Linked DNA regions of Ovis aries. The protein of the gene in region 4 purifies or fractionates together with the protein of the main gene of each other region. This does not show direct contact. Links are inferred from orthologs where the notes say so. Each region holds a gene or a part of one and is shown on either strand. Other genes may lie near its edges.

What was found.
Region 1: the proteins of NOD2 (region 4) and RIPK2 purify together in Homo sapiens (affinity purification with western blotting; 12 studies listed by BioGRID and IntAct, with this or other methods). This does not show direct contact. The link is inferred for Ovis aries from reciprocal best matches to the Homo sapiens genes NOD2 and RIPK2.
Region 2: the proteins of NOD2 (region 4) and SQSTM1 purify together in Homo sapiens (affinity purification with western blotting; 4 studies listed by BioGRID and IntAct, with this or other methods). This does not show direct contact. The link is inferred for Ovis aries from reciprocal best matches to the Homo sapiens genes NOD2 and SQSTM1.
Region 3: the proteins of NOD2 (region 4) and XIAP purify together in Homo sapiens (affinity purification with western blotting; 3 studies listed by BioGRID and IntAct, with this or other methods). This does not show direct contact. The link is inferred for Ovis aries from reciprocal best matches to the Homo sapiens genes NOD2 and XIAP.

Annotation. Positions count from the first base shown.
Region 1 is NC_056062.1:86,800,287-86,808,585, reverse strand, and holds the end of RIPK2 (receptor-interacting serine/threonine-protein kinase 2), read left to right. Parts: intron 1-760; coding exon 761-844; intron 845-1,877; coding exon 1,878-1,971; intron 1,972-3,878; coding exon 3,879-4,034; intron 4,035-4,608; coding exon 4,609-4,952; 3' UTR 4,953-6,348; downstream 6,349-8,299.
Region 2 is NC_056058.1:1,195,641-1,203,201, forward strand, and holds the end of SQSTM1 (sequestosome-1), read right to left. Parts: coding exon 7,454-7,561; intron 6,695-7,453; coding exon 6,614-6,694; intron 2,231-6,613; coding exon 2,016-2,230; intron 1,759-2,015; coding exon 1,563-1,758; coding exon of another isoform or gene 1,381-1,562; exon of another isoform or gene 591-1,380; coding exon 433-590; downstream 1-432. UniProt on the Homo sapiens protein: Molecular adapter required for selective macroautophagy (aggrephagy) by acting as a bridge between polyubiquitinated proteins and autophagosomes.
Region 3 is NC_056080.1:107,803,996-107,812,171, reverse strand, and holds the start of XIAP (E3 ubiquitin-protein ligase XIAP), read right to left. Parts: upstream 4,837-8,176; 5' UTR 4,615-4,836; intron 1,169-4,614; 5' UTR 855-1,168; coding exon 800-854; intron 1-799.
Region 4 is NC_056067.1:18,633,428-18,640,988, forward strand, and holds part of NOD2 (nucleotide-binding oligomerization domain-containing protein 2), read left to right. Parts: intron 1-66; coding exon 67-150; intron 151-359; coding exon 360-443; intron 444-3,312; coding exon 3,313-3,396; intron 3,397-5,401; coding exon 5,402-5,485; intron 5,486-6,550; coding exon 6,551-6,634; intron 6,635-7,561. UniProt on the Homo sapiens protein: Pattern recognition receptor (PRR) that detects bacterial peptidoglycan fragments and other danger signals and plays an important role in gastrointestinal immunity.

The DNA.
Region 1 (8,299 bases), on a different chromosome or scaffold from region 4:
CCAAACCTGGCTTAAAGAGACAGGAGTGAATCACTAAATGATTTTAGTACAAACGCGTAGCAATTAAACAAATCATCTGCTTATTAATGGATATCATTTATCAAATGCTTACAAAGTAATTTTAGGGCCTCTGCATATATTACTTCTAATCCTTGCTGCAGTAATCCACAAAAATAGTTTACAGATAAGTAAACCAAGATTAAGTCTCATGCCCTGAATCAGACAGAGTTCCTGGCATTCTGATCAGATCTGATTGGCCCCCATCTTTCTGTTAGGTCACTATGCCTCCTTTACTTAGTCCAGCCCTCAACTTCTTATCATTAAAATAGAAATAATAATAGTACTTAGAATCATGGTGCCTAAAATATAGTAAATGCTTAATAATTATGGATAGATAGATATACACACAAATTGAAATATATAAAGTACTTAGATTGAACTAGGTACTTTATTATCTCAATCTCTGGAATGATCCTGCATGTAAATATCATTCCATTTTAAAGGATGAATTTGTTCAAGGTAACCAGGTAATATGAGACAGAATTCAAAGCATATATCTCTAAAGTTATTTCCCCTATTCTACACTATCTCTACCTTTATGTTAGATATTATATTCTCAACTGATTGAGCTTTTTTTTCCATTGATTTTGCATAAACATATAAAATATGTTAAGTAGATTATATTTTACTCATATAACCTTCTAATCGCCTCTAATTCAAACACATGTATGATGTATGTATGTATGTATTTCGGTTACAGAATGCTTCAAGAACTGTTCACTTAAGTGACAAGAAGAAAAGGGAGTTATCTCCGAACATACCTGTAAATTCTGGTCCACAGGAGGTAAAAAAAAAAAAAAATTATGCTAATTAAATTCAAAATGTGAGAAGAATATGAAAAATCATTTAGTCTATCTCGGTCTTTTATAGATGAGAAGCTCAAGTCCAGGGAGGTTTTAGGATTTTAAGATGGCAGTCTCCAGTTTGGTTCATCTCATCAAATCCCAGTCCTCACTTCTTTCTGAGGCATTGAATTCTGTCCCTGTCATCATTTTATGTGAAGACTGGTTTCCCAGGGTAGTACATCGCAAATCACTGATACACTTCTGCCACTATAAGCTGTACTACCTGCTTTGTTCTTAACTTCTTACAATGACTGGATAAAGGGAAAATGCTATTTATGTGGCTATTCAAATAGAAGGATTTCTTTAGTAGCATTTATTCAGAATTATTTCATATTAATCATTTCTTTTAGGAATATATATGTTCTCTATACAGATTCAGAAAAGTAATAATACCTTCAAAATGAACCATAAAACACAGTATATAGTCTTTACATATGCTGTCTCTTGGATCTTTGAGCCCATACATGCACGCTTTTAGATAGGTATACAGAAAGAACCTGAGGACCAGATTATTTAAATGACTTGTCAAAGGTTAGGCAGTAATTCCACAACACAGCTAGGATTGGAGCCAAGTTCAATATTACTTCTTCCATGAATTTCTGCTCCTCCGTGTTGAAGGAGCCTGAGGCTTGAGAATAGGCATTTGATCTGAATCAGTATCAGGTAATCAGAGTTACAGATCTCTAGTTGTTCATCAGTTGGACAGTCTGTGAGATTATATACAAAATATTGAAAAAATAATGGTTTCTAATATATTTAACTATTGCCCCACCCACTCAATTGACCTGATAAATCAAGTTCACTTTGCTTTTTATTTCATATATGTGTTTAATTTTGTAAAGTATAATTTGTGTTAGTCTTGAGTCTTTGTTTATAATAAGCCAAAAGCAAGACCTGTTTAGAAATTAAAGCTGTATAACTTTTTAAATAATTTTGCATTAACATAAATAATTTATCTTCTATTTATTTTAGGAATCATGTGGATCCTCTCAGCTCCATAAAACTAGTGGTTCTCCTGGAACCTCAGTGTCCCTGTCAACTCCTCAAGACGATGACTTTTTATCTGGTGTGTATATTTTTCAGTCAGTTATTACTTACAAGTTTTCAATTTTCTTTCAAGATCATATTCTTGCAGGTAGTCATGGTTCGTATGGAACATGTCTTTCGTTTGCATTCATAACTTATTTTTTAAAAGTGACAGTCTGAAGATGTAAAAATAGTAATGGGATGTTAAATACATTTAAGTATAAAAAGCATTCTGTTAGACACTACAGAAATATTTTTTTTAATATCTTATAAGAAAGAACAAAAATATTTCTCAGTCACCATAGTATTAGATAAAAAGCAATATATTGTATGAGATATAGGGATGTAGAGCTATGGTAGTATAGTGGAAAAGTAACATTTTTTACAAAGTACTTTCACAACAACCTTGTGAGGGAGATATTCCTCATTTTACAGATTCTTAAGATCAAGACTGCTGGATCACATAGTTAGTAACTGGCAAATCCAAGATTTGAACCCAGGTCTTTTTGATAAATATTTTCATGTCACTCTACTACACCATGTTGTCATCACGAAGAAATTATTTCTGGCTGAAAGTTGGATCTGTAGTTATAAAGGATGGGCATTCCAGGCAAAAGGAGCTACATAGAGGCAAAGAAGCAAGAAAACCCAGAGAACAGTGAGTAGTTGGGTCTAGCTGGCGAAGACGGTGAATGAAAGGTCATCAAAGATGAGGAGGGTGGAGTCATCAGGACGAATTCTAATACTAGGCTAAGCCATTTGGACTCATTTGCTTGAGTAGGAAACAACTATTGCAAATTTTTGAACAAGGGTATGTGTGACATGATAAACTTTTTTGCTTTAGAAAGATTCATCCTGGCTGGAATATGTAGGATATTTTGGAAGGGAAAGGAGATTCGAGGTGGGGAGCCCAGTTAGGAGACTGCTGCTGCTGCTGCATCGCTTCAGTCGTGTCCGACTCTGTGCCACCCTGTAGACAGCAGCCCACTAGGCTCCCCCATCCCTGGGATTCTCCACACTGGAGTGGGCTGCCATTTCCTTCAATGCAGAAAAGTGAAAGTGAAGTCGCTCGGTTGTGCCCAACTCTTGGCGACCCCATGGCCTTCAGCCTACCAGGCTCCTCCGTCCATGGGATTTTCCAGGCAAGAGTACTGGAGTGGGGTGCCATCGCCTTCTCTGAGTTAGGAGTCTATTGGTCTATTAATGTACTCCATGAGAAATTATGAAACCTTCTCCAGAGTATAAGAAGCGGAGAACGGTGTGAGAAACATTACAGAGGACACACTGATAGGACTACAGCTTTTCACTTGTAGGAGGGAATAGAGAAAAAAAAAGATGAACATAAAGCTAAAGCTTTGAACAAGTTTAGTTGGAAGAACATTGGTGCTATTAACAGAAATAGGAGTTGAAATGAGTTTTAGAGCTAAGATGAATAATTTTTTTTAACTTTTTACAGTTTGAGGTGAACATGTAAACACAGGCACATATGAGGGTTATATCCTGTTGAAAATCCAAGACTTAAGGTTCAGTGAAGACAGAAAATTCAATTACATGGATTTGGGAAGAGAGGTGACCATTGAGACGTTGATGTTTAATAAGATTGCCAAAGGAAACTGGCAAGACATATATATAAATTCACCAGACACGTTTGAAGTACGGAAGGGGGAAGATGACACAAAAGGAAAAATATGATACGATATAAAGAAGTAAAATCCTATGATTTATAATTTATATAGGACAGACAAGCACAGACAGAAATATGGTTTAAAAAAAATTCATCATAAACCTTTTTGATCTAAAAACTATTTACTTGTGAGTTAGGTTTATGGATGAGCTTATGCAATGAAAATGAAAAGACAATTAAATTCCACCCTCTGTGTGATCCAGACATTCATATTTTAGCTAATAGGAATATTCTACCCCTAATGGAGATGTTGTGTTTTATAGGAAAAACTGAAGATTTCTCTGCGCTGTGTCCGTGTTCAGTGATTCACAGTCAGGACAGAGACATCTGTGTGGATCATCGGGCAGCGTTCTGTAACCACAGGACTGCCCCATGCTCTTCAGCAATAGTGAATCCTCTCTCAGTTGAGGGAAACTCAGGTAAATCCGTGCTGTGAAACGCTTTGTAAATGATGCCGTTTACCTCACAACTGTGCTATCCCAACTGTATATTCAATAGATACACTATTTAATGTTCAGTATTCTTCAGTATGTTATATATGTACTGTAAATAGGGAAGCACTCCCAATCCCTGAAGACAAGAATGTTAACATGTAAACACAGGCCTAAATGGTATTCCATGAACGTCTATCTAGGGAGGGAGGGCTCAGAGGAGGTGTGACTTAATATGTCACTAAAGTTAATATATTTTTATTTATCAAATATTCAAGTATCCTTTATGTTTAAAAAAAAAATCTGAAAAAAAGTTACCTTTGCCTCCATGACCTACAAAGAGTAAAACTGCAGTGCATTTTCTTGGAGGGGAAGGGAGGAGATAACCCAAATATCAGATTTGTTCCTGAAAATTAATAGCATCCTTCAAAATAGTGCTGTTCCATATTAGCATAATTACAGAAAAATTAGATTTTATGTCTTATTATTTTGTTTATCATCTGATTTTACTCATAGCTATGTATCTGTCCCCACTTTTTTACCTGTCATTGCTTTTCTACAGGGCGATTTCAGCCTGGTATAGCCCAACAGTGGATCCAGAGTAAAAGGGAAGACATTGTGAGCCAGATGACTGAAGCCTGCCTTAACCAATCTCTAGACGCCCTCCTGTCCAGAGACTTGATAATGAAGGAGGACTATGAACTCATTAGTACCAAACCTACAAGGACCTCAAAAGTCAGACAGTTATTGGATATCACTGACATTCAAGGAGAAGAATTTGCCAGAGTGATAGTACAAAAGTTGAAAGATAATAAGCAAATGGGTCTTCAGCCTTACCCAGAAATACTTGTGCTTTCTCAATCACCATCTTTAAATTTCTTTCACAATAAAAGCCATAAAAAGTAACTCCTTCCAAGAAAAGAAGTCAGTGTATAAACAAGTAATTTATATTTTTTTTTGCCTTGATAAAGTTGTTTTCATGAGATTCATTTGAGTATTTAAAACTTTAATGCAGTTTCTTCTTCAGATAAATATTAGTTTCCTTCCATGATATTATAGTATTTTTTTAATTAATACAGTAGAAAGTTTGTGTTTTGCTGCACAGTTCAATTTTTATCTTTGGTTAATTAAAATATTTTTTCAATTAATAATTATATGTTTCTTATACAAAGTAATGTTTTCAGGTTCCACGTGTTTCTCATGGAAACCATTTTCACATACACTTTCTTTGTGGATTATTTGTTGTTTGAGATGCTTGGCTTTTTGAAGTGTACCCCTTAGACTTAAATCAGAGGTAGTATAGCATTCTTATCCTACAGTCTTGGGTTCCAGTCCTCTTCAGAGTTGTTCATTAAGCTCTGTTATCCACATTACACATTTAAATGTTATTTATTGACCTCTTTAAAAGATTGTTTCAAAGATAAAGGAGTACAGCGTATAAAGAAAAACAATCCTTCAGCATGTGCTTTACTCCTGTTTCTAGCCTGAACTAACAACCAAGATAACAGCCAAAATTAACAGATTGATATGTATCATTCTATCGCTTTCTTCCTGTTCATATTTGAAATATATGCTCGTTTGGGGAAGGATTGTTTCTTAATATTATCATTGTTATAACACATCATACTTCAACCTGATTTTTGCATTTAGTACATCATGTGAAGCCTTCCAGATCACATTCAAGCTTAATTAATAAGTTTTGATTGCTATATAATATTACTAGAGCTATTTTTTTTTTCATTTTCTTGTTCAAATCAATGATATATACAGTGTGAGGTGTTTTGCTTTTTTTTTTTTGGTTAATGGGTTATGTCACTAAGGTGAAAACTAATAAGGAATAATAGCCCTTTTCTGAAAATGTTTATTAGCAATGTCAGCAAAAAGTGTGATATAAGATAAATTTGAAAGGACAAACTTTGAAGTTGGGCTATACAGTATGACCCACGGTTTGAAAAAAGTAAAATCAGTAGATGTCATTGAGGCAATTAAATGTTTTATTAAAATAGGTATTTTAGTCTCCATTTTGGAGCTGGGCCTCTGGTGCCTCATTACTATGTCTCTGAGAAATATGGCAGTTACTAGGGAAAGGCAGAAACCACGCATATGAGCTATCTTTTATTATATCTTATTTTTAAAGTGTCTGGATAAAGATTTAATTTGGGAAATGAGGGAGAAAATCATTTGGAGGTTTTCCCCTTTATACAGTTTTTTTTATTATTTTGAATCTTGATGGCTTCAAATTAACTTTTATCTCAGTTTAATGATGTGGTATCTGGATTGATAAAGTGAACTTCGCCCTGGGTTTTTCTTTTTGTTTGTTTTTTGTTTTTCATTTTCTGCCCAGATCTAAAAACTCAAGATTTCCAGTCTGTATGCTTAGGACTACGTGCGTATCAGCCACTTTCTTCCCTAACTTAATATATGGGAAGCACAGATACAGTCGTCCATTTCAGCTCTGCAGACTTTTTCTGCATGAGTAATAACAACGTATTGACGAAGATGGTGATGACAAGGATCAAGATGAATCTACAGTGAGCTCTCAGTACCTAGTAGAATTGTTGCAGTCTCAGCAGCCAGTTTCCATTATACTAATACCTGATAATGCAGTGATGTTTAGGGGAAGGTGCCACAGGGTATTCTGAGTCTGACCTGTCGGTATAGCACAGGGCCTGGCACAGACGCTGTCTGAATATCTCCTCAGTGAATGTCACTGGAATGAAAGCTGGAGAAGAGAGAAGGAAGAGGTTTCCTTGAAATCACACTTCCAAGATGTAATGCGAACACAGCTGGTAGTGGATGAGATTGCTTTAGGTAGTATGCACACAGCACTAAATTAACATTTTAGTCACATAGGAAGTTCTTTTTAGTCAAATCTTCTAGTTAAGTAAAGGAGAAAGTTAAAATTGTGCTATCATCCTTTATCCCCTTTAGTAAAAAGAGAGGACTTCAGGAACAATGTTTAGCAGGAATTTTGTAACTTTGAATTGTTTTGTAACTTTTTGAATTCATTTGAAGATGACCTACATGTGTCACCGTTTTTCTAATCTATTTTTTAAATAGGTAGTAACAGGTAATGCTCACGCACTCTGCACTATATGTTAAGGCAGTGCTACCCAGAAGATTGGTCTGCAGAGCAGCTGCATGAAAATCAGCCAGAACTTGTGAAACGTACCAACTCATGGTCCCTAACTCACTCAGATCTTTCCTACCACTCAGACTCAGTCTCTGATGTTTGAGACCTTTTGTTTTAAGAAACAGAGAGAAGGGGATCAAGATGACAGGGGGGTATGGAACTCACTTCCTTCCACAAATATTAATGCATAAAAAATACATCTACCTGTGAAGCAATCCTTGCAGAAGACGTACTGAAAGTCTGCAGGAAATCTCATACAACCTAGGCTACAACTGAGACCCCCAGATAACCAGGTAAGATAAAGGGGAGAGGGAGGAGAGGAATCTGGACAGGATCTGCCTGGAGAGAACTGGGGAAATATTTCCTCATCCTGGGAACTTCCTTCACTGGCGGGGAGGTCTGCCAGGACAGAGGAGCTTCAGAGGCAAGTGCAGAAGCTGCCCTATACACCAAAGGATGAAAAGAGCCCAGCACTGTCAGTCTGATGCCTCTGCACACTTCCCCGCCCCAGAGACACACCTGTTGCCGTGCCCAGCTACTCAGTGCTGAGACCTGCGCTTCGGCAGACAGACCAGGGGAGGGGACTTGGTCTGGCTGCACAGCCAGCCTGAGGGCCTGGGGTGTGCACGGAACCGTGTGGGTCTGCTACAGGAGCCACGCTGTCGACAGAAGGCAGGGACAGGGTGTGGGTCCAGCGGAACAGCGCCATTATCAGCTTGCTCACGGTGGGGCAGGAGCCAGGTGCAGCAAGTTTAGCAAACAATGGGTGTGAACACTTGGAGGCGGGGCTGGTCCAAATTACTAGCATTCCCAAGCTGGGCACAGGAACCAGCTTCTGCAGGTTTTCATGCCAGTGACTGTGAGGACACACGCACGTCCAAGCCAATGATGGCACCCCCACTCACCCCCACCCCCCCCCCACCCCCCGCCATGGAAGCGGGCACAGAGGACCGGCCAGCAATGGTGGTCTTGGTTGGCATGCACACCCGGTGGCAGGTGGCATCACAGAACCGCATTTACTAGCAAAACAACTCTTGGGGAGAAAATGCAGTTGCTTCTTTCCCAGAAGGAGCCCTCCCGTCCTGTCCATCTCACGGCTCAGCTTAAAACTGTGCTTGAA
Region 2 (7,561 bases), on a different chromosome or scaffold from region 4:
GAGGATATCAAACTTCTAGCAGAATATCAATTACATATCAGTGTAGTCATTAGAAAAAGCAGGAAGCCATTTGGCAAGATCTACTCTGGACTGCTGGTATAATCCTGCAGGGGGAGTGCGGACAGGATGCAGTACGGTCTCCACGTGCTCCCCAGCGAGGAGTCTCTCGCTCTGCCCCAGGGGGGCTCCCCTAGCTGGAAGGAGCCAGACATCCACGGGAAACTGATCCGTTTCTCAGAATCAGCACTCACACACTTGGAACTCCCCCCATGTCACTTGCTCTTACTGCCCTAAATGGCTTTGTGCATCCCCACCCCCCGATTCTGAAAGAAGAATGACGAGAAATTGGCACTTAGAGGCACTGGGGTTCTACACTAACTCAACACAACTATGAGACAAGAAAGGGGACACAGAATGTGTGAGCAGACATCGTCACAAAGGTGGTGGGTGTTTTGAATACTGGATGGTGTCCAGGGCAGCCCCGATGTCGTAATTCTTGGTCTGCAGAAGCCTGGTGAGCCAGCCGCCTTCATCAGAGAACCCCATGGATAGCATCTGGGAGAGGGACTCAATCAGCCGGGGATCAGCTTCTGCCAGAGAGAGTAACAACAGCTATGAGGAGGCGGCACTGTGCCCCAAATGTGCCTGTACATGGCCCTTTCACAAGGTCTAATCCTCACAGGGACCCTCCAAGGCAGGGACTGTCAAGCTTTTTCTGTAAAAATCAAGAGTAAATATTTTAAGCTGCTTTGCAGGCTATTTGGTCTCTGTCACAAATATTCAACTCGGCTGTTGACGTATAAAAGCAGCCACACAATATGTAAAAAATTAGTGTGTCTATATTCCAGTAAAACGTACATTTATGAATACAGATTTGAGTTTCATCTCATTTTCCCATCTTGACTTTCTTCCAACCATCATAAAGATGACAAAGTCATTATTGGCCCATAGGCCATAGTTTGCCACTCCCTGCTTCAAGGCAGAGAAGATAAATACTGGCAGCCCAAGGGCTGAATGTGGCACACAGATGGGTTCCACCTGAATAATGGTTTAAATGTCTCTGCCATGTGACAGAGATGGACCAGAGCAGGGTGTGAGTGGCCTCACTTATTCAGTGTGTGTCCCCAGGCTGCCACACTCCCCACGCAGCCCTCCTGCCTTCCACACTACCCCCTCTACATGGTGGCTCCCTGCCTGGCTGCTACTGGGAGCGTGACTGTGGCCCCCGCCTAAGACCAGCACTTTCCACGAGCAGACAGTGGAGATGGGCTCCGAGTCCACTTTCAGCAGCGCACGGCAGCGCCCGAAGCCAGTGCTGCCGCCACGTCGCACCTGCCTTCATAATTCCAGGTCTGCGCTACGTTTTAGAAATTACTAAAACTAGCTGAGCTTACTAAGGCTCATAGAGACGCAGAGGAGACAAAACCAACTCCTAGATTTCTCTTGTATCAATAGACAAGCCCTGCAGTAGAGACTGTAATGCCTGTCTGCGTTGCTAGAAGCAAGTGATAGGATGTCTGAATGGAAAAGGGAGTAGTACAGAACTATCTGAAATCCCTTGCCTGGTGGCAGATGTGGGTACAATGCAGCTTCCTTCAGTCCTGTGGGTCCTTCCTGGGAAGGATCCAGAGAGCTTGGCCCTTCAGATTCAGGCATCTGTAGAGACTGGAGTTCACCTGTAGACGGGTCCACCTCTTTTGAAGACAGATGAGTCCAGTCATCATCTCCTCCTGAACAGTTATCAGACTCCATCTGTTCCTGAAACAGACCCCCAGTGAGCACAAGAATGAGAACAGCCGGCCACCGGACCACAGCCTCAACTCTGCGAGAGACAGGGCACGCAGGACTAGCAAGAGTCCTTTTGCTTTACAGAATTCTAGTGGAGGGCTCACAGGACAACTTAAATGCCACCAACCACTCTGCAACGGAAACGGGCTCTGCTGGCTGTGTGAGTGCCAGGGAGGTGCTGTGACTCGTGCTGGGGGAAGCTCTGGATGTGTTAGGGGGGCACTTGCCTCAGGCTGACCCCCCGACTCCAGGGCGATCTTATTCATTTGCTCCGTCAGAGACTGTGTTGTGCCCTCCACGTCCCTGTCTGGCTTGCTGGGGTCAGAGCAGCAGCTGCTTGGCTGAGAGCTGCACTTCTCCTCTGTGCTGGAGCTGCCTGCAGAGGAGGGGGTCAGGCGGCTTCTCTTGCCTCCATGCTCCACATCAATGTCGACTTCAATGCCTAGAAGCCGGGGGGGAAAACAAAAACTTGATTAACAGCAACATCCCAGGTCAGCTTCAGAGCCACAAAGTCCAGAAACAGACTGTCTTCCCCTCACTGGGCAGGACAGCAGCTGCACCGCAGTGCGGAGGACGTTCTTGTCCTCACTTGAGGCACCCTACTTGCGTGCAGGGGCCGAGCGATGTGAAAAACACACACGCTGAACACGCTACCCCTGCTCGGGCAGGCAGACAGCTCGTGCAAGCTTTGTGTGAGACCTGTGAGACAGCATGTCCACCTCCAATCTCTCACACTCTGGGCACATGCTCACTGAAGGGAAGGGAGGGCACACTCACTGGGTTCATGTTATAATTCGTTTTACTTTCTCCAAGGACACACCCCATGTCTCAGAGTGAAGCAAGTTCAAAAGAACAGGGCCTTCTCTGGTGGTTCAGTAGTTAAGAATCGTCCTGCCAATGCTGGGGCCATGGTTTTGATCCCTGGCCTGGAGCAACTAAGCCCGTGTGCCACAACTACCGAGCCTGTGCTCTGGAGCATGTGAGCTGCAAGTCCTGAGCCCGAGGGTCCCAACTACTGAAGTCTGCACACTCTGTGGCCTGTGCTTCACAGGGGAAGCCACTGCAATGAGAAGCCTATGCAGAGCTAGACAGCAGCCCCCACGTGCCCCAGCCGAAGAAAGCCTGCACGTACCAAGACCCAGTGCAGTCACATATAAACTAAAAAAAATTTAAGACTATGGGATGGATAAACATCAAGGCCCTACTGTATGACACAGGGAGCCATATTCAATATCCTGATAAACCACAATGGAAAATACATATATGTGTTACTGAATCACTGTGCTATACAGCATAATTAACATTATAAATCAATTATACTTCAATAAAATTTAAAAAGCAATATAGATTCCCTGCCCCCACCACAGAGCCTGGCCCACCCTCCAGAGACAACTTTTAACTGACAACGTGCTGCTTCTGTCTTTCCTGACTACTTAGGTTTACCATTGATTTCTAACTCTAGATGATCGACACTTCCCCTGTCCTTTCAAAAACTCACTTTGTGGTAAAAACTGTATTCAGTGTTTATGGTAGTGCCACTATATACACAGTGTTCTTTGCTGGCTGAGGAGTGGGCTTATTTCCTCAGAGTTTTCTGTATCTGTAGCAGTAATGATGCTTTCTTTTTCACTTGGTAACTTTCCCCATATTCTCTCACAGCTTCTCTATAGCGTTTTCTACACAGATTAAGTGTATCAGATACCCCATCCATTCTGGTTTTCCCCCTGGAGACCATCCCAGGCAGGCGTGGAGCTTCCAGCTCCAGCCTGGACAGGCAGCTCTCTGAACCAGAGGCACAGCGCCTATGCCCTTCCTTCCACCCTGGCAACTACCGCGGGCACTCTCTCATCTGTTGGGTACCATTTTCAAGTACCTCTTTCTTCATTCTGGACTTGTTTATTTTGGCCAGAGAGACGGTTCAAGCCCAGGTAAGAAGATTATGACCTTGTCAGTTTCACTCCTGACAACTCTTTTGCTCCCACACTTGATCATTTTAGTTGGGTACAGAATTCGAGGCTGAAAATCCGTTTTAGATGAGACTTTTGAAGTCAGTGTCTTCTAGCTCTTAATGTGCTCCTTAAGTTCCCAAGCTTTTACAGCAGCCTTCAGAGTTTCAGGAGTCTCTCTTTGTCCCAAGGGTTCTGACAGGACAATTTTAAGCTCTGGTGTGGGGTCTTTTTCAGGCCTTGTCCAAGGCATCTGGGGCCCTTTTTAATCCAGAGGTTAATGGTCCTAGTGCCGAGAGACTGTCTTGTATTTGTTCATCTCCTCCCTTCAGTTTACTCTGTTCTCTCTGGAATTCTTTCATCCTATGTTGGGCCTCCAGGATTAATCCTCAAATTATCCCACCTTGGTTACTTTCCTCCATCCATTTTCCATCTTCCAAAGTTTGATGAGATTGTTTTATCTTGTCCTCCATTATTTTTTTCCCTTTTTCTTTATCCATGTTGCTTTATTTTGTTTAACCCCTTCACTATTATTTTAGTAGAGTATGAGGAGCAAGCAGAGAAAATAAAAGCAGGCTTAGCAACTGGTACCCCATCTGCAATATTTACATTGTTTTTCTTCTTCCATTTCCCCTGCAGTTTTCATTGTGAAACATTCAAATAATCAGAAAAGACAGAAGAACAGTACAATGGATACCCATATACTTTCTAAAATGGGTGAATGATGCGACTCTTCTGTAATGAATTTTCGAGATTACTGAATTAGAGTTTTTCCAACTTGATGATAATCTGAGACTTCAGGGCTTAGAAGACTGTACCACAGTCTCTGCCCTGCTATCCCCAAAGCCTCTATGTAGGGGTTGTGGAAGACTCCACGGCCCTGCTGTTTTACATCCTAGGAGTCAGTGGCTGTGACCTCCAGCCAGGTACAGCCCTGGGCTCATGCTCTTGCTCAGCTGGCTCTCACAGCACTTATCAAAAAAAGGTCTCAGTCGCTGACTCACTGTACAGACTGCCCTCTGAGAGGTATTAGTGGTTATATCCCTCCTGGGCCCCTGCTGTTGGAACTAATGTTCCCTTCTAAGCAGTTAGTAGACTGAGTTATCCTGTTAGTTCCTCAAAAGAAAGGAAAATACCTGTAACTCCAAAGACAGAGTTTAATCCATCCCTCGAATGGCTCTCTTGAATAGCTACTCAAACACACATTCCACTGAAACTTGTTTTGTAGGGTTCCAGACTCCTCCCAAGTTAGCAGAAAGCACTCCCGCCACTCTGAAAGACCTGAGAGCCTTAATTCTTACTGCCGAAGACCTCAGAACACTTCTAAAATTATTCCCTTGTGTCCTGAGTGGAGAATCCAGGTCCAGTTCTGAAACACTTCACAAGCTCAGATGGGTCTCAGGATGGAAAGCAAGTGTGACAGTCTCCTGGGAAGCCTTCAGAACACATCGACCCTCATGCCCTACCCAAAATCCACTTAACCAATCAAGGGACCTGGAACTCCTCACTGTTTTACAGTCTCCTGCCTGAATGTAGATGTGGTTTTGTGACTTCCCAAGTTATCTTGTTCATTCTTTCAAAAGAAAACTTTTCTCTTCAGGATAATCAGTTTTAAGAGTTTCCATACACCAAAATATATACCCTCCCATAAAAAAACAAAAACAAAAAATAAAAATCAACCTTTCATTGGTGATTCTGATGTTCAGTGCACTTGAGAACCACTGTCCATTTACTATCTTCCGAAGAAAAATTTTCCATGGCCTCTAAGTAACAACCCATTAGTTGGGATTACTTAAAATCCTACTATGTCTTCACTATGTCTTAAGTGAGTGGCAGAGTTTAGGAATAACCTATCTCCCAATTATTTCATCTCTACTCCACTGTTACCCTCCTTAGAAAGCATTAAATATACTAATTATTTTTCCTCACTTGCTCAAAAGTCTTTAACTCCAATGCAGAAATTGTGTGAGATCTATTTCATGTAGCAGTGATGCCAAGATGTCACTGCTACTTCAAAGCTGCTTCAATGTGAGCAGAAATGGTCTCAGGTTGGAAGCAATGGCAGTCATGCTCTGTGAGCCACAGGGCGGGTGGTGGGTGAGCTTGGACACCCTCCTACAGCATTCTTTCAGACACTGGACACCACTTTTGGACAGACCAGGTAACACTTCCTGCCACTGCAGTCACAAAGATGGCATCATGGATCCATCATAAGTCACCTTCATCAGCTGATTCTTATGGCCACAACACAGCAAGTGCTGTTTGAAGTTTTATTTTTAGCCTTGGGCCAAGTCACTCTATGAAGGTGCACAGCTCACCCACCCAGACACCCACCCTGGGCCTGCACCCTGGGAATCCAGCAGCAGACACGAGAACCTTCCTCCCTCACTCCTTTCCCTCTGACAGTGGCACAAGCCCAGTTCTTAGGAAGCACCAGGAAAGGTTGGGGGTTGCAGAAAAGGGAAGAAAAGCAATATGGCATCTCAGCTAACTACTCACTGAAGTCCTCAAAGAAACCCCAAGGCTCAAGTAAGGAGAAATACAGAGTGGTCTTCCAAAGGAAGAAGATGAAGGGCAGCCTTAAACTGAGCCTGGTTACCCTCCCTAGTGGGATTACCCAACCAAATGCTGGCTGATTCTTGGCTGATTCCACTTCACTCTGTGTGGAAAGCTAAAGAATTTGTCAGGGAGTTCAACCTCAAGCGGCCTGTGGTGCAGCACTTGGTCAAGACTGATTGATATGAGGCCAGCGAATCCTTACTGGTCTCAAAGACACATCAGCTGCCCCTCCTCTGCAGTATCCCAGCTGAAAGCCACAGAACAGCCGCCTGTACACTGGTTACCAAACGCTCTGCTGATGTCAAAGGAGGGGCACTTACCCAGAGGGCTGAGGGCAGCCGCCACACTCTCCCCTACATTCTTGAGGAAATTCACACTGGGATCTTCTGATGGACCAGAGGCTTTGGTTTCAAAAAACAAAAGATACTTTTAATTCAAAGCATCTCTCTCAATGACTGAAACCTGTCACAGTCCTGTCTGTCCCAGAAGCCCTACTCCCGGGGCCTGTTCCCAGCAGCCTATACCCTATTGCTTCCCTCTCTCCCCCTCTCTAGGCCACCTCCTAGGCCCCTTTGTCTTTCACACCACTCCCCCTTCATCTACCTTCCTGGTGCCTAGAAACTCTGTACACAGAGTATAATGTATTATTTACCCCTCCCCCGGAAAAAGCATTATTTACTCAAACAAATACCCTCATCTTTGTCACTAAGGACAAGGTGAGTCAAAGGACATAGTAATACTAATAAAATCAGAATAAAACTAGAATCTAAAAGTTCAGAATGCAAGCTATGTGTAAATTTTTAACTTGGGAACTGTTTTACAAGACTTGAGCAAACCTGGCTGTGACTTTCCTAACAATTAGCATGAACAAGAAGAGAGCCGACTGGAGACGCAGGCGCTGGAGGGGCCTCCCACCTGCATGGGAGGGCCACCGGGGCAGGTGCATTAGTGGCCTTGAGCACCGAGGCACTAGTTTTCCCAGATGTACAATGGAGATGATGCTTGCACTTTGCAGGATTTTATGAGGATTAAATGCACAAACGGCCACAAAGTGCCTAGGCCAGCCACAGGCATGCAGGATTTTAGGGCACAGGGAAAGCCCTCCAGCTCTGCAGGCCCTCACATCTCATCCTTCAGAGGCCAGCAGATACAACCCTCACCTGATTCCGTGGCAGGGCCAGGGTGGGCCTCCCCTGCCTGAGGAGGACGTGGGCTCCAGTTCCCCGGTGGGCCCATCTCCCAGCCAGGCCACCCAAAGTGCCCATGTT
Region 3 (8,176 bases), on a different chromosome or scaffold from region 4:
GTTTCTTTGATAGTCAAAAGCAGTACTAAAAACAGGGACTTCCCTGGTGGTCTAGTGCTGAGACTCCATGCTCGCAATGCAGGGGGTCCGGTTTGATCCGTGCTTGGGGAACTAGATCTCACACACAACTAACGATCCCACGTGCTGCAAGGAAGCTGGATGATCCCATGTGCCACAACTAAGACCAGGTGCAGCCAAATAAATAAATAAAGAGCTTAAAAAGAAAAGCACTACTAAAAACAATTACCCATCATGGAGTACTGATGAGTCATTTTCTTAATTAGAGGCAGGTGTGATGGAGCAGGCACTTGTTTGAATAGTTGCCTCTGTGAATCATGTGACCTCTTTGGGGCTTACAATCATACCTTTTTGTGAAGGTGGTATGGGAGTGTTCACAAATTTTTCAGGGTGTCTGCTCAATTATAGAAATAATAGGAAATGGTAAATTTCAACACAGGCTGTACAACACAGTTTGGGCTTTAAAATTTCAACACAATGAGCATAACACAGTTTGGGCTTTACTTTAGGAAAGCCTTAACATACTCAGAACTGAGGAATCCATGATATTTCCTTTGCAGAAGTATCTCTGTAAAGTCAAACCAACCCCTGAAGGCAAGAGGCGATAACATCAAGAATGTTAATGATAAATGGTTTTGCTGTGAGCACCAGCAGACATTTCTTAACTTGCTTGAACCTCTAACACATCACCCAGGAGATTAACCCTTATCAGTACACCCTTTGCAGGGAATGCATTTGCTAATGCTTATGGTCAATTAATAAGCATGCATAGCATACCTACCATTTGTCCTGTCCTGTGAAGGCATGCTCCCTGGAAATGATGAATCATAGTCCATATCTCGGAGAAGGCAATGGCACCCCACTCCAGTACTCTTGCCTGGAAAATCCCATGGACGGAGGAGCCTGGTAGGCTGCAGTCCATGGGGTCGCTAAGAGTCGGACACGACTGAGTGACTTCACTTTCACTTTCATGCATTGAAGAAGGAAATGGCCACCCACTCCAGTGTTCTTGCCTGGAGAATCCCAGGGACGGGGGAGCCTGGTGGGCTGCTGTCTATGGGGTTGCACAGAGTCAGACACGACTGAAGCGACTTAACAGCAGTAGCAGCAGCAGTAGCAGCAGCAGTCCATATCTGTGATTGCTCATAGGCTAGTGGAGACACAATCACAATATAAGTACTCTGATAAAGGTATTATTGCATGATTTTAAATTTTTTTTATTTGGAGATAATTTCAAACATACAGCAAGAATGCTAGAATAAGACTAGTATAAAGAGGAGGGGTGGGATGAATTGGAAGGTGGGGATTGACATATATATAGTCACTCAGTTGTGTCTGACTCTTTGTGACCCCATGGCCTGTAGCCCACCAGGTTCCTCTGTCCATGGAATTCTCCAGGCAAGAATACTGAAGTGGGTTACCATTTCCTTCTCCAGGGGATTTTCCTGACCCAGGGATTGAGCCGGGTCTCCTGGGCTTCCCTGGTGCCTCAGAAGCTAAAGCATCTGCCTGCAATGAAGGAGACCTAGGTTCGATCCCTGGGTCAGGAAGATCCCCTGGAGAAGGAAATGGCAACCCATTCCAGTATTCTTGCCTGGAGAATCCCATGGACAAGGAGCCTGGTGGGCTACAGTCCACGCGGTTGCAAAGAATTGGACACGACTGAGTGACTTCACTTTCTTTCTTTCACTCTTGTATTGCAGACAGACTCTTTACCAGCTGAGCCACCAGGGAAGACTGTATACACAAACACACACACACACACATACATATATATGGACTTTATATACATATATATAATGTATAAAATATATAACTAGTGAGAACTTTCTGTTATAGCACAAGGAGCTCTAGGTTTCCCAGGTGGTGCTAGAGATGTAAGAGATGTGGGTTCAGTCCCCAGGTTGGGAAGATCCCCTGGAAGAGGGCATGGCAACCCACTCCAGTATTCTTGCCTGGAGAATCCCATAGACAAGGGAGCCTGGCATGCTACAGTCCATGGGGTCACAAAGAGTCAGACACAACTGAAGTGACTTAGCATGCATGCACTCAGAACTCTACTCAATGCTCTGTGGTCACTTAAATGGGGAGGAAATCTAGAAATGAAGGGATATATGTATAACTGGTTCACTTTGCTGTACAGCAGAAACTAACACAACATTGTTAAGTAACTATGCACACACGCACGCTCAGTTCCTTCAGCCGTGTCTGACTCTTTGAGACCCCATGGACTGTAGCCCACCAGGCTCCTCTGTCCATGGGGATTCTCCAGGCAAGAATACTGGAGTGGGTTGCCATTTCCTTCTCCAGGGATCGAACCCTGACCCAGGGATCGAACCCACATCTCCTGCACTGCTGGCGGATTCATTACTGGTGAAGTCCTGTAAAGCAACTAGATGCCAATACATTTTTTTTTTTAAAGAAATAGTTTAAAGAACAGTTATAAACCCTTTTGTCGGTTCAAAACCTCTGGAGCTCCCCAGGTGAAATTTGAGATTGGCGCCTTATCCTCAGAAGCGAGGAGAGACCAAAGAGGCAGACCACCCCAGACTGGTAGGAGGAGGTTTTGTAAGTTAGGAAACTTACATAGGAGGCTCATCTTGGATGGTCCCAAAACAAACCCATCTCCACACCCACCTGCCAGAATCTTAAAAGTTTACACAGAGGCCCAAACTGGGCTCAGTCACTTATTCAGTCCAGGTGGTCTCAATACCTCACTCTCTCAGAGCTCTGGCCTTGAATCACCTCTGGCTATGGGAGCAGTTGGAGAAGGCAATGGTACCCTACTCCAGTACTCCTGCCTGGAAAATCCCATGGACGGAGGAGCCTGGTGGGCTGCAGTCCATGGGGTCACTAAGAGTCGGAGACGACTGAGCGACTTCACTTTCACTTTTCACTTTCATGCATTGGAGAAGGAAATGGCAACCCACTCCAGTGTTCTTGCCTGGAGAATCCCAGGCACAGGGGAGCTTGGTGGGCTGCCGTCCATGGGGTCGCACAGAGTTGGACACGACTGAAGCAACTTAGCAGCAGCAGCATGGGAGCAGTGGGCAGAATTCCAAGCAAGCAGGGGAGGGGATAAGAAGCCTCCCATTGCTTGTCCAATCCCAGGGTCAACTGGCAGTCATTTCCTCCTGATGACCTCCTCAAACATCTTTACCCCAGATTCACCTGTTAACTTTTTACCCCATGTGCTTTATCATTTGTATGATCTACCTTTCTCTCTATCTTTTCTCCTGAACTGTTGGGGAGAATTATATATCATTGCCCTTCACCCCTAAATACTTCAGTGCATATTTCTGAAGAGTATGGTAATATTCTCTTACTTTAACCACAATCCAATTATCAACTTCAGAAATTTACATTAATACAACACTTTATTATTTTTGGCCACTCCACACAGCTTGTGAGATCTTAGCTCTCTGACCAGGGGTTGAACCCTTGCCCCCTGCAGTGGCAGGCAGAATCCTAACCATTGGACCATGAGGGAATTTCCATGATACAACACTTTAATCTATCATCCCATATTCCAATTTTAGCAGTTGACCTAATAATGTCCTTTAAGTATTCCCTTACCCCACCCCAGTACAGGAGCCTGTCTAGGGTCAGATATTGCCTTTCGTTGTCACATGGTGGAGGAGGACATTGAGTTGTGACCACCAGTTGGCTGGTAAGCTGGTCAAGGGCTACCAGTGTCAGGATTAAGGCATCTATAGTGCCAAACTTAAGGAGACACCAGTGAGTTCCACCTGGAGGAGTTTGACAGGTGAATAGGAATGAACTTAGCAGAGAAGAGAGATGAGGTCATTTGGGACAAAGGGAACAGTGGCCAGAAAGACTAGGAAGCATGAAGAGCATGGTGAGAAGTGCGATATAATCATAGTATAAGGTATTTGTTAGGGAGGGCCTGAAGATGAGACTGATAAAGTAAGTTGAGAGCAGGTGTAAATTGCCTTAGTGTTATGAGCCTGGACTGGACTTTACCCTATAGGCAGTAAAAACGTTGAAGAGTCTTTTCACATCCCGGATTGCTTGACTCACTTGGTTATCAAATTCCATCAACTCCACTTCTACACTGGCTTCCCTTGAAGTCTCCCCCCACCCCTTGAAGGGTTTTAATCAGAGGAGTAACATGATTATAATATTTTTTAATGAGGTGAAACTGGCAACATTGTATAAACTAGACTGGCAGGATGAGTGATAAGAAAGGTGAAACCTAAGTCAGGTGAGGAGGCTAATCAAGCGAGAGGTGATAAAGAACTGAATTAACAAAACAGTAGCAGGAAGGGGAAAATGTTTATGAGATATAATTAGTTAAGACTTGGGTACTGTGAGAGGGTTTCAACCTGAAATGGAACTGGAGGATTGGAAATAGAGAATCTCAGGCATGTGTCCTCAGAAGAATGGAACTTAACCAAGAGACTGATTTCCCATAAATGCCTGACTTCCAGAGGACAGAGACTTATCTCCTGACCAACAAACATCCCTCCCCATCCTCAAGCCAGTGAACTTGCTGCTTGCGCTCTGGCTGGACATCCTCCTCTTTGCACTCCTTGCCCATAAATGGAGCCCACCCTGAACCCTCAAGGGACTCACCTGTAGCTTGATACAGCTTGCATTTCTTGAATTGCAATTTCTCTGCTATTCCCAAATAAACTAAATTTCTGGTAAACTGAGGCTGTCTCCGTTTACCTTTTTATTTACGTTGACCATGTTGATTTTATACGTAGAGTCTAGAGAAGTCCAGGATGACTTTTCAGTTTCAGGCTTGAAGGACTGGGTAAGAAGAGTTGCCATTCAAGAAGTGGGGAAAATGGTAGAAATAAGTTTGAGTGGAAAAGGAAGTACAGTTTTAGACATGAGTTCAAGCTGGCCAAAGGATATCCAATTAGAAGTTTCCATGAAAAGGTTTTGAAATAATGTCTCAGTGAAACTTGGACAGCTTCCCTTTTCTGAGTTCCTTCTGCCTTCACAATCAAGATGAAATCAGGAACTTTAGGTAAAACGTTTGTTTCACCAAGTCATGTCTGGGAGTCCCCAGGGGATATTTTTAACATCCTCACGAACCTATCTTTCAGCTGTTGTTACCTTATGGCACCCACCATCCTCCTCACTTGCCTCAGCCCTCTCATTTATATCCACTGTTCAATTAAACACCTGAAGAGTGTTTCACCTTTGCCATAGCTACGTGTCCACTGTCAAAGTATAATTTTTAGAAAACTGAAAATGTGACAAGGAGAACCTACTGTATAGCATAGAGAGCTCTACTCAGTGCTCTGTGGTGACCTAAATGGGAAGGAAATCTAAAAAAAAGGGCGGATATATGTATACATATTACTGATTCACGTTGCTGTACAGCAGAAACTAATGCAACATTGTAAAGCAGCTAAACTCTAATACAAATGTTTAAAAATATGTGACATACAAAATATAGAATAAGCCCCTATAAATATTTAATTCATTAATGAGGAGACAGCAGTATGTTAAGTTGATTCAAAGGAGAATTTTGACGTCTCTGGTGGTCCAGTGGCTAAGAATTCACTTGCTAATACAGAGGAAATGGGTTCAATCCCTGGTCTGTGAAGATCCCACATGCTGGGGCAACCAAGCCCATAAGCCACAACTACTGAAGCCTCTACACCCTAGAGCTCACGCTTTGTGTCAAGAGAAGCCACTGCACAGTAATGATGACCCAGTACAACAAATAAATAAACAAAGGAGAACTTGAAAGAAAGTGCATATAGGCACTCAAAGAAATAATTATAAAGTAAAACTATGAAGTTTGATTTCAATACAATACTGTTTAATGTCCTACAGGGAAATACAACTGTTAGCTTGGAGGCTGTCATTTCTATTTGACAGAAGCATTTGCATCTCTACAAACAGTCTGCAAGTTAATAGAGACTTCAGAGAGACTTGACTGTAATCAGTAGTAAATAGTAAGTCAAGCAAAACATATTCCTCTAGACAAATAATCTTTGGGCAGCCTGTTAGACTGTGACATGGAAAGGACATCCTTTTGCCTTACTTCCAAGTTTTTCCTAATTTTCATCACACAGAACATCTGTGTCGAGTATAGGCTCCTTATATCACTGAAGCTGCAAATGATCAGGTGTCAGGGTAGTGCTCCCCTCCCACGTTATTACATCTCTGCTGGGAACCAGATCCACCAGCTTATGCCATTAGCCTTTCTCCATATAGGGCTCAAACATGTGTCTCTGAGGCTGGGCAAGGGAATCAACATCCCAGCATCTTCTGGGTACCATCTTCTTTATTTTCATGTCTCCCCAGGTGCTCATGCAAACCTCCTTTACACAGGTGTCCTGAGCAATTTGATACTGATGCAAAAAAAATATCTTTGTGTTGCCTGCCCCTCCAGGTTATGAAAAGACATGCCCAGACATGGTTGAATTCTGGCCATGGGAACAATTAACATGGACCAGGAGACCCACAGTAGTCATTTTCTTAGTGATTACGGACATTCCAGAAGATCATGAAGGATGCCAAATAGTTGACTTGGGAACAATGCAAGCAAAGGAAACACCCAGTATTCTCACCGCCCTACAAAGGACTAAAGTGACTCACTCTCTCTGTTTCAGATATGATTGCTTATTGCCATGAAGTATGTGTTTCAGAGCACCTCTGACCCTGTAGACCAGCCAATGTGCCAGGAGTAGAAGTGATTTTGTACCATCCTCCTTGTTTAGGGCCTGGTAGTCCTAGTGAAGCCTGGCCTTCTTACCTCCCTTTTCCACAAAAATCCCAAGAGCCTTGTAAGCCTGAATAAATGTCTTTTGCACCCTTACTTCAGATCTGTATTAGTCTATTTTTCTAGGACCCAAGTCCATGGCTCTGATGTACTGTCACTTAATGGGGAGGAAAGCCCCAGGCTCAATGCAAATGGCACTGTCCTGGCCCCCATTCTAGGGCAGATTGAATTCATTGCCAGGCAAGGAATTTCTTGTCCTGGAATAAAAAAAAGCAGACAGGGACTTCCCTGGCAGTCCAGTGGTTAAGACTCTGTGCTTCCACTGCAGAGGGTGCGGGTTCGATCCTTGGTTGGGGAACTAAGATCCTGCATGCCACAGGGCACAGCCTAAAAAGAAAACAAACAACAAAGCCCCCCCCCAACAAAACAAAAAGCCAAAACAAACCCCTTGAGAAACAAAACAAAACACATTCCCCTGAAAAACAACTACAAACCCCAAACAAAATGAAAAGCCCCCCAAAACTAAACAGCAACAACAAAATTGATGACACACTCAAAGGATTTATCTGAGGCGACTTGACTGAAGATGTGGGCAAGAATAAGGGAAGCAATAAGGGATGCTAAAGTGTGCTGGAGAAGCCTCAGAAGGAAGTCATTATCACCCCTCAAGCAGAAGAGGCAAAGAGAGGGAGGCACAACTAGAGCCTGATGAGAGATGGAGTACAACAAGAAGGCTGCCTGGGAGCAGTTGTGGCCATTGAGGAACGTCCCTTTCTACAACCAGGGCTGGGCAAGAAGGGGACAAAGAGAATAAATACCTTAACTTCTCTTTCTTCTCACCCTCTAATCTCACATCAGTGCTTGCCACTGGCCAAACCTAACCAGAAGCCAGAGGGCAAGGGAGCTCATGTAATACAGACTATGAAAGGGGTAGCCTCCTGGGGCACAGGGCACAGTAGAAAAAAGTGGAGCATGGATTTGGGGGGTGGGCTGTAAGGAGATCCATGGAAAATATCCTTCACTTTCCTCTCATGGGCAAGGCTCTCGGTGTGCTATCTCACACTGTCTGTCAGGTACTTGGGAGGTGGGCTAGGGAGCATTCTCCATGCTCTTCCAGCTATGCTTCTGGCAGGAGGTTAAGATGAAACTCTGGGTCCAGTTTTTCCAAGATACTGTGAAGTAGAAGGTTAAGCAAGGTTTTGACCCAGGACTGCAAGATGACAGGACAGACAATGGGAGAAAGCCAATGGTAGATGAGGAGGGCGGGAGGGACAGACAGAAGGAAGGAGGAAGGGAGGGAGAGAGGAAGAGGAAGGATGAAAGAAGAGGGAGAGGGGAGGGAGAGAGAGAAGGGAGAAGGGAAGGAAGGAAAATAAAAACAAAAGAATAAAGGAAGAAGGGAGGAACATAAATGAAAAACAGAAAGAAGCAGGGAAGAGAAAGAAGGAA
Region 4 (7,561 bases):
TTTGTCCATTTTTTTCCCTCTCTCATTGGCTCTGTGTTCAGATTTCTCTATTTTGTTTTTGTTTAGCTTGCGAGATAACAACATCTCAGACCGAGGCATCTGCAAGCTGGTTGAACATGCTCTTCGCTGTGAGCAGCTGCAGAAGTTAGCGTAAGTCAGGCTGTGGACGTTGGGCCCCGTGTCCCCAGACTCAGCCCAAGCCATGCTGCCTGGGCAGCAACTGTGAGTGAGTGATGGGCTGGGATGTTTGCATGGCCAGAGGGCACAGGGGACTCCTGAGGGAGCCAGTGACCGGGGTTGGGGTGGTCACTGTCCACTATGCTTTATCTCCATGTCTCTTCTCTCTTGGAACTTTCCAGTCTGTTCAACAACAAGTTGACCGATGGCTGCACACACTCCATGGCCAGGCTCCTTGCGTGCAAGCAGAACTTCTTGGCTTTGAGGTGAGCCTGGGGCTTCCCTACTCCTGGAGACTTTCGTCCCCACAGCTGAGTCAGTTTGGTCTGGTCTCGCCCCGTAATGGGCATATGACCTTACCTCGCTGAAAACAAGGACAGTGTCTCGTTCTGAATAGGGCTTCACTGATGCTATGACCTCCCCAGCAAACTCTGGACCATCGCTGCTGAGGCTTCCTGCTGTTTGACCTTTAGCCCCCAGGACTGAAGAGGGTTTCCAGGACCTTTTTTCTTCCTTGTGTCTCAGAGTGTCACTGGCTGTCTGGGGTGATCCATTCCTTGATGGTACACTCAGCATGCATTGGGTCGGGGTAGGAATGCAGCAGTCACTTGCCGCCACAGAGGCAGCTAGTTGCCAAAAAAGGTGGGTCCAATGCTGAGCGTCCCTGGTGGCTGACACAGTAAAGAACATGCCTGCAATGCAGGAGACATGGCTCCAGTCCCTGTGTTGGGAATATTTCCTGGAGTAGGAAATTGCTATCTACTCCAGAATTCTTGCCTGGAAAATTCTGTGGACAGAGGAGTCTGCTACAGTCTATGGGATCACAAAGAATTGGACAGGACTGAGCAACTAACACTTCACTTTCTAGTCTGGAAAGGCTGAGTTTCTGCTGCTCCCCACCCTCTCAGCCTCAAGGGGAATCTCTTTCCCATCTGACACCATTGCATCATCCCCCAAGCTGGTCCATGGGTTGGCCCAGCTTCTTTTTCTCTTTGAGATGTTCTTGCCTCCTGGGTTTATGAGGCAGGGTGGTGGTGGTTCATTCGCTAAGCTGTGTCCAACTCTTTGTGACCCCATGGCCTGCAGCACACCAGGCTTGCCTGACCTTCACCATCTCTTGGAGTTTTCTCAAACTCATGTCCATTGAGTCTGTGATGCCATCCAACCATCTCATCCTCTGTCACCCCCTTCTCCTCCTGCCCTCAATTTTTCCCAGCATCAGGGTCTTTTCCAATGAGTTCTTCACATCATGTGGCCAAAGTATTGGAGTTTCAGCTTCAAAGTGAAGAATTGCTTCCATGCATTTGGGGGTGAGCTGCCATTTTAAAATTGTTGACTCCGTCTCGGGCAGGGCCACTGAGGCCAACACCAGAGGCACCATTCTGTACTGAGGACTCTCTTCTGCCTCCACCACCTGCCACCCTCAGCTCAGGAAGCCAAGAGCGGCTGTGGCCAGAGCTGGGCTGGTGCAACCTCCAGGGAGGGCTGTAGGGTAACAAAAGGTACTGCTCCCAGAACTTGAGAGGTCTGTGTTTTGGGTTAGTATAGCATCTCAGTTGAGAGCAGGGCCCTGGAGCCAGACTGACCAAGGTTTGGATCCAGCATCCCTGAGACCTGAATCCTCACAGTGACTTCTGTTTTCTGTGTCTCTGTTTTCCCTTCTATGAAATGGAGAAAGTAATTACAGCTCATAGCTCATAGGTAGTTGTGATGATTAGAAAGTGAAAGTTGCTCAGTCATGTCCAGCTCTTTCTGATGCCATGGACTGTAGTTCATGAAATCCTCCAGGCCAGAATACTGGAGTGGGTAGCCTTTCCTTTCTCTAGATGATCTTCCCAACCCAGGGATCGAACCAGGGTCTCCTGCATTGCAGGCGAATTCTTTACCAGCTGAGCTACCAGGGAATCCCAAGAATACTGGAGTGGGTAGCCTATCCCTTCTCCAGGGGATCTTCCTGACCCAGGAACTGAACCAGAGTCTCCTGCATTGTAGGCAGATTCTTTACCAGCTGAGCTGCCGCGGAAGCCCTGTGACGATTAAACAAGTTAATATACATAGAAAGCTGGCATAGTATCCCAGGTTCTTTCCATAGTGGACTTAGTGCCCTAGAGATGGTGGATAAATCACATAAGTTCTCAGCGTGTTGATCCTGTTTGTCCAGTCCTCCAAGGAAGGATTTGCTGGGGGAAATCCCTATGGGGGGAAATTGGGAAAGGGAGCTGGAGGGGGAGGCTGGGAGAGCCGCAGGTCTGACCGTGAGGGAGAGAGAGAGGGAAGGAAGGTTGTCAGGAGGAAGCATCTTGGACCCCAGTGCAGTTTGGAGAGAAGACAGAGGCTGCTGGGGAGTCCTCCAGCCAGTGTGCCTGACAGAGGAGGCTCAGGTCTCCCAGTCCTGGGCTGGGAGCAGCCCGTGGGAAGCAGGCCTTGGGGCAGAGGGAGCACTGGACTTGCCAGCACAGCAGCTGGGGCCCTTGGTCACCCAGGAAGGTCAGAGGTCTGTCAGCTTAAAGTGAATGAAATTTCTTTGAAAGATGAAACTGGCAGTATTATTCCAGGAAGCCTGGAGCTGTGGGTGAGAGTTCCGGGGACCTCCCTGAAACTCTCTGAGGTGCCCGAATTTTGCCGAAACCCCCTCCTCCGCCCTTGCCTGAAGGCTTAGCAGGATCCCTTTCTTTCTTTCAGCCACCAGAGCGCCACCCCCCAGGCACTTTCAAAACAGGTAGATGCCACCTGCAGCCACCGTGGATGGGGCAGGCTGCGGGAGGAAAGCAGGGTCCAGCGCCCGCCCGCAGTCAGAGGAGAGGGTGGAGGAGTGAGTCACTCTCCCTCCCTGGGGAAGCCACCTCCCTGGACTGTCGTGGTTCCTGCTCCTACCTGTCACAGCGCTTTGCAGAACAGGCCCTTGCATGCCTCTCCCCTTGCTGGTGGAAAATGAAGTCGCAGGAGCATTCAGTGAGCCCCCGAGCTGCAGCAGCACACGCCGCGTCTCCAGCTGGAGCTGGAGGACTGGTCCCTGTTTCTCTGCCTGGGCCACACTCCCTGTGCACCCCCCTCCCCAGGCCCGGGTCTTGGGGCCCAGTAAGGGTCCTCCTGCCCCGCTCTCTGTCTCAGTCTCTCTTCTGTCTTCCCTTCCAGGCTAGGAAACAACCACATCACAGCCGCGGGAGCCGAGGTGCTCGCCCAGGGTCTCAGAACTAACAACTCCTTGCAGTTTTTGGGGTAGGTGGGATTCTAGGGTAGAGGGGCAGCACGCAGGGGTTGAGGGCTTGTGAGGATTTAGGAGCCTGTGAAACCAACTCTTCAGCCCCAAGATCTCCGAGACAACCCCCACCCCCTCACCCCCCCTCCCGCCTCCACCCCCCCTCCTGCCTCCACCCCCAACTCTCGCCTCCACCCCCTGCCCAGGCTGCAATGGGGAGGGAGAGCGTGGGCAGCCCTTGTTGCCTCTGCCTTGCTTTTTGCTCAATAAACAGGAAGCTCAGGATGTCAGGGTTGGGGGAGGGCAGAGCCCAGAGCAGTGGCAGGAAGCCCTCTGGTCCTCCAGAGCGCTGGAGCTGTGTTTCTTACCTTGGTCTATATGTGGGAACCACTGGGCTCCTGAAGAAGGCCACTATCTGCCCCAGGCTAATTAAATGAATTATCTACATGCAAGGTCTGGAATCAGTAATGTAAAAAAGCTTACCAGATGATGTGCAGCCTGGGGTGAGAGCCAAGGAGAGAAGGAAGTGGGGAAGTTTGGACCCTGGACCTTGGATGGGAGGAGGCTGCACCAGGTCCTACAGAGCCCTGGCTTCCTGTGGGGTCATGCCAGGCAGGGGAGAGGGGTCGGACACAGGCGGGAAGGGCAGTCCACAGACCTCCGGGCCCCAAGTGGGGCTTTCTCTGTTTGCTGGGCAGACAGGCTTGTACCTGTCCAGTCCCCTGGAGCTTCTTTCCTGTTCCATCTTGCCCTGGTGTAAACTAGGGTCTATTTGAAAACAAAACAAAACAAAAAAAAAAAAGGGGGGGATTTTAGAACCCAAGACTGTAGGAAGAATGACTTTAGAGCCTAGGTGTTCCAACTCATTTTACAGACAGGCAAGTTGCCCGTGGGCTGTGTTTGAGCCCCGAGTGGGACTGTGTTGCTGGAGAGATAAGACCTTGTCCAAAATGCATTAGTAGCATCACAGAGTCTAGGAGAGGGTGGCCGCGGCCCCCACTGAGCTCCTTCCTTCTTGAGATCACATCTGGGGTGTTTAGCTTTCAACACCTGTTTATGAAGGTACCTGTCTGGTCTTGGTCTTGTGCTAAAACCCTCAAGCACTATCACGTGATACAAACTGTTATGTAACTTGCTTTTTTCTTAACACTGTATTATTATACTGTATTATAACACTGTATTATTTTGTTCATATCACATGACCTCACTTTTAAAAAGAATAGCTGCTCAGTATTCCAGTGGTTTGATGTCGTGATGTGTTTAGTTGGTGTCATGCACACTTTAGGTTGTGGGCAGGTTTTTGCTATTACAGTGTCACACCCTGGAGTGTAGAGTGGTGCTGGCATGGGGCCAGAGCTCAGTAAGTGTTCACCTTATGAGTGAAAGTGCAGTGAGCATCCCAGTCCTCTCTGCCCATGTGGGCACCTCCGGGTCCATCCTCACTTCCCACATGGGAAATGGCCAGGTGCCAAAGTATGAGCTGGGCTCCATCTTTGAAGGGGGTGTTTCCCAATTAGGGTGGGTCTGAGGAGGAGAAGCCAGAAGGTGAAGGAGCTTGAGGCTCCAAAGGAACTGGAGGCTCTGAAGGAACTGGGGATATAACAGAGGAGCAAGAGATGAAGAACTAGTGTTTGGAAGAAGAGTTCGCCTTCTTCTGGGTGGTCCTAGAGATAGCGAGGGACTCCTGGGTGGCAGTGAGCACAAGCAGGTCTAACCCAATGTCGGAAAATGTCACAACTGTGACTTGGCATTGAGAATGAGTCCCCATCCCTGAGAATATGCACTGGGTGGGCCTCTAACTATTTTGAAAGTCTGATTTAAAGAAACCAAAAAGTCTAATTGAAGTTTTTCCATCCCTCCAAAAAGATGGAGGCAGGCTCACTTTGCTGGGACCTGAGTCCCCCTGAGACCTTTCTGGGACTGGGGAGTCCTGCTCCTCTGCCTGGGGCTGCAGAGAGGAGGGGCACGTGTCTTGAACACAAAGCAGGTTCTCACTGACACTGTTTATTCTGTTGAACCTTTCAGGTTCTGGGGCAACCAGGTGGGTGACGAGGGGGCCCAGGCCTTGGCTGCAGCTTTGGGTGATCACCAGAGCTTGAGGTGGCTCAGGTAAGCCTCAGAGTTCGTCCTGCAGTTGGTGGGGGAAGCCAGTGTGAGGAGGGAGGAGCTTGGGCCAGTTTTGAAGGTCTGTGAACTTTATTTTCACCCCACTGTGTTAGATAACGGGATGAGAAGGAAAGAGCACTGGAGTTGAAGTCAGGACACCGGAGTCTTGCTGGGTGACGTTGGATCCCTTTTCCTCTCAGGAGTCTTGATTCCCTGTCTGTACTCAGAAGATCTTGGGCTGGATCAGATAGTTTAGTCGCTCAGTCGTCTCTGACTCTTTGAGATCCCATAGACTGTAGCCCGCCAGGCTCCTCTGACCATGGGGTTCTCCAGGCAAGAACACTGGAATGGGTTGCCATTTCCTCCTCCAGGGGATCTTCCCAACCCAGGGACTGAACCTGGGTCTTCCACATCTTCTGTGTCTCCTGCATTGCAGGCGGATTCTTTATCCACTGAGCCACTGGGGAAGCTCTGGACCAGATACACTTTTTAAAAATCATTGTTTCCTTTAGGCTGTCCTGCGTCTTTGTTGCTTTTCTCTAGTTGTAAAGAGCGGGGGGCTGCTCTCTGGTTGCAGTGCAGGGTTGCTTTCCTCTAGTTGTAAAGGGCGGGGGCTGCTCTCTGGTTGCAGTGTGGGGGCTTCTCTTGTCGTGGAGCACGGGCTCTAGGGCACGCGGGCTCAGTGGTTGCTGCACGTGGGCTCTAGAGCACAGCCTCAATAGTGTCATAAGGGCATATGGGATCTTCCTAGACCAGGCATTGGACCCGTGTCTCCTGCACTGGCCGGTGGAGTCTTTACCACTCAGCCGCCAGGGAAGCCCTGGATCAGCTACACTTTATCTCAAGAGTCAATTCCAGTCTGTTAGTGGGAGCTGCTCAGCAAACCATGTTGGGAAGGATTCTAAAAAACTGCTTCTGGACTTAATGAGAAAGAGCACTGCAAAGGATTAGTCTGAAATGGAGCAGACCAGGACTTGTGGCAATGTGTGCCGTGCATTTTGCCCTCCTTGAGTTATCTTTGAGGTCCCTCACTGCTCTGACATATTTTTGTTTTTTGACTACATCCAGCCTGGTGGGGAACAACATTGGCAGCGTGGGTGCTCAAGCCTTAGCATTGATGTTGGAAAAGAATATGGCCCTGGAAGAACTCTGGTGAGTTTAGGGGATTCATTTCACTAGGGAAGCAGACACCAGCCTTTTTTCATTCTCTGGCCTCATCTGTGGAAGCTGATGTGTGTATAAGACAAAGATGGATGACTGAGTGATTGGGTGATTGTGTTTGTCTTTGTCCTAAGTGGCATGAAGTTTATAGAGCCTGGCTAATTCTTTTCATTGAATTTTTCAAGCCAGTATGATTGGTCTGTTGGTTTGTGAGCTTCCTCCATGGCATATAATAGTTCAGAGCACAGACTCTGGAGTCCAGCAGGCTGAGCTTCAAGTCCTGCTGTGATCTTAAGCAAGCTAAGTAACAGTATCTGAATCTCAGGTTTCTTACCTGTAAAATAAGAGTATGGATGCTTTCAACTATTACATACTTTTGTGAGAATTTAATGAGATAACACCTGTAAGTAGCTTTGTATAGTGTCTGGCATATGTGTAAGTGCTCCATAAATGTGAAATTGTAATAGGATAGTGTCTCAATGGACATGAACTTGAGCAAACCCCAGGAGATAGTGAAGGACAGGGAAGCCTGACATGCTGTAGTTCATGGGGTCGTAGAGAGTCAGACCTGACTTAGCAACTGAACAACAGCAAATATTTCTACGACTGTTGCTGCTACTACTACAATGATTGCTGTTGCTACTGCTCCTAGTGTTTTGCTGTTTCAAGGCGAATGTGAGTGCCTAAGAACCCCGGATATGAGAGTCAGGGTCATGGGCAAGGTGGAATAGTTTGGGGGAGGTTAAAAGATGAACCATGAATCATATTTATCCTGATTCCAAGCTTTCCACCCTTTAGATGCCACTAGTCTAGCCTTCTTATGACATACTCTGGGCAGTTCCAAATTGTATCAAGGAGATAAAATGCTGAATGTTTGATTTTTTTTCCAGGAAGCATAAAGATACTGAAACCTATTGA